2 linked regions of the Kluyveromyces lactis genome follow. The protein of the gene in region 2 binds, or shares a complex with, the protein of the main gene of each other region. Links are inferred from orthologs where the notes say so. Each region holds a gene or a part of one and is shown on either strand. Other genes may lie near its edges.

Region 1 (2,502 bases), on a different chromosome or scaffold from region 2:
GGTATGAACATGATATGTTTGTTCTCCTTCGGTACCAGTTTAGTCACGATGTTGGGACCTGGAAATTTCACCAGTCTCTATCTTAACAGTGCTATTGCTGGTTCCCTTTTCTCTCTATGGTACCCCAGGTTTGCTAAAATTGCTATGATGGGTCCTAGTTTGGGAGCATCCGGAGCTCTTTTCGGATTATTCGGTTGTTTCTCGTACTTGATTCCAAACGCTAAGATGATGTTCTTCATCTTTCCGGTGCCATTCGGTGCATGGTTCACATTCCTTGGATTAGTGACATGGAACGTCGTAGGATGCGCATTGAGATGGGGGTCATTCGATTATGCAGCACATTTAGGTGGTTCTGCGATGGGTGTATTGTACGGATGGCTAGTTGCGAAGTCTATCCAGAAACAAAGAGAGAAAAGGTTATCCCTTGGAGTATTCCCAAGATTCTGAGTTATACTTACCATCTTTTTACTTCTTCTACCTCTGTAAATAGTACATATGAGTTAAAATAAAGGGCTATTTCGTCCCAACCCTGAATATTCAATCTCTTCCCTTAAGTAGGCCTTCCCTTAAGATGAAAAACCCATCTCTTTTCACTGCAGCGGTTTTGGTAGGATCCCATGATCCGCTTATTTCGCCCAATGAGTCCGATTTCTGCTGGCTTGCAATCCCTTTGATTAATCCCTCGTAATCCAACGGAGTTGGATTCCTTTCTATAATTCTTGCATGGTTTGGATTTATATTTTCGTCAACAGGAAGATTATGCAAACGGTTGATGAACGAAAGTTGGTTCGCAAGCCTGATTTGAATCTGGTCTATATTCTTTATTGGAAGTCCGGAAATCTTTAACAATCTCACCACAGTTTCTTCTGATGGAATCAATTTCTCATCTACCGATGAGGGAACATATTCTCGTACATCCCATGTACTCTTACTCAAAAATTCTTCAACCTCTTTATCGCTGGTAAATTTCGGTCCTATCGTGGAGCCACTCAAATTCTGACCACATTTACCACTGGAGAAACGAATGCCGTGGATTGCTTTTCTTCTTAAAGCAAGAAGCATTGTTATTGGTATGAGATGTTTGAGATATACAGGTGAGAGCCCGGGAATATACCAGTCACAACGTTTTTATCCTCTTCAAATTTAAAAGTCAGAATAAGGAACCTTTCTTTACATTTCCGACGTGCAAGCTGTAATTAAACATTTTAATGATCACGTGAATAAATTCAGAAACTCATCTTGTACGGTTTTGATATTGTGCCCCAAATATTCCCCTTTTGGGATGTAGTCAACTTAAGTCTGAATATTTGTATCACGTGATTGATAATTTCTTTTTCAATTTCTGAAAATTTTCGTTTTCGAGATGCGATGAGATGCGATGAGCTTCAAATACAAATTGCACATACATCACTTATTATACGTACAATGAATGATTGAATAGACAATTGCTATCTCGATAGCTTGTCTTTGGTGGTTCTAGTTAAGTTATAAAGTGATTCAATTTGATAAGCTAGAGTAATCTTCCAGGTTCAGGTTTAAAAGATAGCTAACTAACTAGACAAGGAGAGATACTTTTTTTTGTTCAAGATGAGAATTAAGAAGAGAAATACCAGAGGTAATGCTAGAAACTTCATTACCAGGTCTCAGGCCGTTCGTAAACTACAGATCTCTTTAGCTGATTTTAGAAGATTGTGTATCTTCAAGGGTATTTACCCCAGAGAACCTAGGAATAAGAAGAAGGCTAATAAAGGATCTACGGCTCCTACCACTTTCTATTATTATAAGGATATTCAGTATTTGATGCATGAGCCTGTATTGGCCAAGTTCAGAGAACATAAGACTTTTGCTAAAAAGTTGACTAAGGCTCTAGGGAGAGGAGAAGTGTCAGCAGCTAAGAGATTGGAAGAGAACAGACCTAACTATCAATTAGATAATATCATCAAGGAACGTTATCCATCTTTTGCTGATGCCTTGAGAGATGTGGACGATGCCTTGAACATGTTGTTCTTGTTCGCCAACTTGCCAGCTACCGATCAAGTGTCTTCTAGAATCACACAAAGTGCACAGCAAATGTGTGATCAATGGTCTGCATACATTGCCAAGGAAAGATGCGTACGTAAGGTATTTGTTTCCATCAAGGGTGTTTATTACCAAGCCAGTGTAAAAGGTGAAGATGTCAGATGGTTGGTACCATACAAGTTCCCTGAAAATATTCCAAGCGATGTCGATTTCAGGATCATGTTAACTTTCTTGGAGTTTTACTCTACTTTGTTGCATTTCGTTTTGTTCAAGTTGTACACAGATGCCGGTTTGGTATATCCTCCGAAGTTGGATATTAAGAAGAACAAGCTGATCGGGGGATTAAGTGCATACATCTTGGAATCTAATGATGAGAAGAGTTCGTTGGCTGTGAAACCAAAGGAGCTATCGGAAAACGTTGAAGTTCAGGAATTGGGAGCTAATACCTTAAAGACCGCTTTGAAGGCAGACTCTAATGAACAT
Region 2 (3,585 bases):
GATGATACCAGAAACCTTGGGTCCTGATTATAAGTTCAAAATTAAGTAAATTATCAATTAAATCTCCTGCTTTGAAAAGTACTACCCGGCAATTTTCCTATAGAAAAGCGTTCGCTCAAACAGAAGGCAAAAATGGTCGGAAAGCTTAGAAGAAAGATCCCATTGGATAACCAAGATGTTAATACCCAGCCGGCGAAAAGGATGTGCTTAAAAAAAAATATCCTATTGGAAGATTTGAATAAGGAGAATATTCCGATTGAAATACCTTACTTAAACGAAAGCCCTCAATCAGCTAGCAGCAGCCTTACAGGGGTTTTGAACTTACATCTCGAAAAACAATCTCCACAACGCAAAAGGCTGTCCACCAATATAGAGACGGACACTGTGTTAGATACGAAAAAGCAAGAAGTTTTGACTTCTTTAAAGTTAGAAGAATTACAAGATAATTTTAAGGACCTTGAAAGAAGATTAAGCATTCAAAATCGTGATTATTTCATCAAAGACGCTCACTATTCAGATGAAGATTTGACGAAGTGTAGAACTAATTTTTTGTTTGAATTGGAATGCTTACCAAACTTGAGCTGGTCTCAAAAAGGTAACCTTCGAACTGCTAGCTATATTCCGTCAGTGTACCAAAAGTTGGACCCAAATTGGTATTTTTCACAGGCGTTTTCAATTGATGATTTTACCAACTTGCCTGAATCAGTTAAGCCATTCTATATATTAAACCCAATGAATGAAGTACCAGAGTGCAATAACCAACAAATTGAACCAGTTGGACCGGAAAAGGCAACTGTGCATATTGAAAACATCGAACCTCTTTCTAAAATGATACCCAGCTCCAAATTAAAATTCCGTGCTAAGTCGTGTGCTTTTGATGAAGATATTGATTGCCAACTGTTGTTTAAGCAGAAAATTTCAGATTGTAACTATTACGAAGACGAAGTTGATCAAATATCACTACCAGATAGTTTGGATCACTGTAGATCTGTTAAGAAAAAGGTTACGGACGGAAAGAAATCTTTGAACAGAAACTCTATTCTATTCCACACCGATAAAAGGAACTAGTTAGAAACAATAATTATGGCTGTTCGAAAACCAAGATAATTCTGAAACGGTGTATAATATTTATGAAAAATGTATAAAACAGAATAAGGCAAACAAAGCTCAAACTATCCAAATACACTGTGTGCACAAGTTATGTCACTTTCAATCGTCAGTTAAATAAATCTGTCATCGTGCTTATGGCACATTTTCTAAGGTTCGGGTAAAAAACATGAAATTTGAATTAACAGAAGCAATGAACATGAATATAAAGACAAACATACTTGACAAAAGAACGGCTTTTAGGCGCTGTGTGTTAGTGATTTTACCAACTGCTTATTAGCTGTTTTTGAATTTCTAGTGGGTGTTATACTACTGAGTGATAAGCTATAAATAACCAGAAATGTTGGTGTTTAGAAGGAACTATGCTAAGAGGAATACTGGTTCCAAATTCAAAATTCTTCCTGAGTATAAGTTAAAATGCGGACTTGAAATCCATACTCAACTGAATACAGACAATAAGCTTTTTTCAATGTCAACTAACAGCCCGTTTGCAGATGTGGATAAGCCAAACTATCATACATCGTATTTCGATGTTTCGATACCCGGAACACAACCAATACTCAACTTGCAGGCAGTTCTATTTGCATTGAAGTTATCGCTAGCATTACGATGCAAGGTCAGTCTAAACTCACATTTTGACAGAAAACATTACTTCTATGGTGATCAACCATTGGGCTATCAAATCACACAACATTACAATCCTTTCTCAAGTAAAGGTAAACTACGATTGTACAAAGATTTAGACTCTATTGAAGAGGCTTTCAAAGACATATCTGTCATTCAGTTACAGATAGAACAGGATACAGGTAAATCTGTATATAACTCTACTGACTCCAATACAAAAATCGACTTAAATCGTTCGAATGTGCCATTGATCGAAATGGTGACTGAACCCGATTTTACAGACCTAAAACAGATAAGAGCTTTCATCAAGAAATATCAAAACCTTGTCAGACATTTGAAGATATCTACAGGTGACCTTGAAACGGGCGCGATGAGGGTTGATGTAAATCTTTCTATTAATGATTACGCCAGAGTAGAGTTGAAGAATTTACCAAATACTAGCTCAATCACTAATGCTATCAAATACGAATACAATAGACAAGTTAACATGATAGAAAAAGGCGAAGGTGACCAACTCAAACACACAGAAACTAGGGGATGGACAGGTTCGGAAACTGTTAAACTCAGAACTAAGGAAAGTATCATAGACTACAGGTATATGCCGGATCCAGAACTACCAAATATTCTTTTAACCAATGAAATAGTTGAAGGAGTAGAAAAGACAATTCCAACGTTACCAGACGATACCTGTATGATGTTAATGCAAGAGCCCTACGGTCTAACTTTAAAAGATGCAAAAATTCTCACAATCAATAGTAATGGCCATGATGATTTGTATTCCCATGATGAATTAAGAGCATGCTATTTTAGTACATTTGATGCATATCACTCATTATGCAAGAAACAAAACGAAGAGTTCGTGAGAAAACTACCTGCAAATTGGATAATTCATGAACTTTTGGGAAACCTAAACAAGATGGAAATTCCTCTCATCAAAGTTTCCCATATTCTACCTCCGGAGAAATTTGCTGAATTACTCTTGCTAATCTCTAAGAAAACCATCAGCAACGCCAGTGGTAAGCTTTTATTATCGCATATTTTGAATTCCTTTAAGGAGAACTCTTTTGTGGCTTCTGAGCCAATAAATTTCAATGCTCTAATTGAGGAATTTGAGCTACATGCAGTCTCAGATGTTGGTTCGGAAGAGCTCGAATTAATTTGTGAAAGTATAATTACCGAACTCAACAATAACAAAATGATTGAAGATATTAAATCTGGTAAGAAGAAAAATTCTATTAAGTTCCTTGTCGGTCAGGCCATGAGGATATCTCAAGGTAGAATACAAGCTCAAGAATTCGAAATTACTTTCAAAAGACTTCTTGGTGTTGAACCGTGATTACATTCCTTCGCTAACATGTCCACACTATCATCCATGTAAATACAGAATAGATAAGTTCATAATGAACATACTACGATCCAAAACTATTTTAAGATTATTCAAAGGATAATTCACCGAAATACCTTTTAACTACCTGACTAATATGAAAGTATATACCATTTATAAAATTTCCTTACTATAAACCTTGTATACCAAGTGTGTAGAACCATTCTACAAATACTGAATAAAAATATTAGGGTACCCATACCATTGAAAAGAAAAATTAGGCAGTCACCTTCTTAAGGTAATTGCAACAATAAACAAAATCCAGGTTTGGAAGAAATGAAGAAATAGAAACTTCAGGCTATAATTAGAGGGGAACCGAACTTACAATGTACAGTTTTTCGGAAAGATGAAACTACTCATGGGTTGTGTAGTTGCATTAGTGGAATATCGCATAAATTTCGAAACGTTGAAATTCTTTAACTCCAAACGCTCATGTCAGAATTCCAGATGGAAACAGAAGAAGTAGTTGG

Evidence for each region. Proteins that work in one complex are often made in the same cells at the same time.
Region 1: the proteins of PET112 (region 2) and GTF1 are in contact, whole or in part, in a crystal structure (PDB 4N0I), measured with the Saccharomyces cerevisiae proteins. The link is inferred for Kluyveromyces lactis from reciprocal best matches to the Saccharomyces cerevisiae genes PET112 and GTF1. Residues at the interface, in NP_009473.2 of Saccharomyces cerevisiae: Asn43, Ser47, Gln48, Ser49, Thr50, Pro60, Asn61, His62, His63, Thr64, Ser65, Tyr66, Ile69, Leu71, Leu78, Asn79, Leu80, Glu81, Ile83, Leu84, Phe109, Gly111, His163, Val171, Ile172, Thr173, Leu174, Val175, Asp176, Leu177; in NP_011616.3 of Saccharomyces cerevisiae: Arg79, Leu80, Ser81, Gly82, Thr130, Lys131, Gln132, Leu133, Asn134, Tyr135, Leu138, Gly141, Ile142, Gln145, Lys146, Gln147, Ala149, Glu150, Leu151, Gly152, Glu153, Ser155, Gly156, Trp158, Ala160, Thr161, Leu163, Lys168, Ala170, Tyr171.

What each region holds. Positions count from the first base shown.
Region 1 is NC_006040.1:1,295,568-1,298,069, forward strand, and holds GTF1 (glutamyl-tRNA(Gln) amidotransferase subunit F), read right to left. Parts: upstream 1,063-2,502; coding exon 538-1,062; downstream 1-537. Other genes in the region: rhomboid protease PCP1, read left to right, coding at 1-447; mRNA-binding ribosome synthesis protein NOP7, read left to right, coding at 1,588-2,502. UniProt on the Saccharomyces cerevisiae protein: Allows the formation of correctly charged Gln-tRNA(Gln) through the transamidation of misacylated Glu-tRNA(Gln) in the mitochondria. The reaction takes place in the presence of glutamine and ATP through an activated gamma-phospho-Glu-tRNA(Gln).
Region 2 is NC_006041.1:1,835,611-1,839,195, forward strand, and holds PET112 (glutamyl-tRNA(Gln) amidotransferase subunit PET112), read left to right. Parts: upstream 1-1,447; coding exon 1,448-3,067; downstream 3,068-3,585. Other genes in the region: KLLA0_E20637g (uncharacterized protein), read left to right, coding at 133-1,068; KLLA0_E20681g (uncharacterized protein), read right to left, coding at 3,532-3,585. UniProt on the Saccharomyces cerevisiae protein: Allows the formation of correctly charged Gln-tRNA(Gln) through the transamidation of misacylated Glu-tRNA(Gln) in the mitochondria. The reaction takes place in the presence of glutamine and ATP through an activated gamma-phospho-Glu-tRNA(Gln).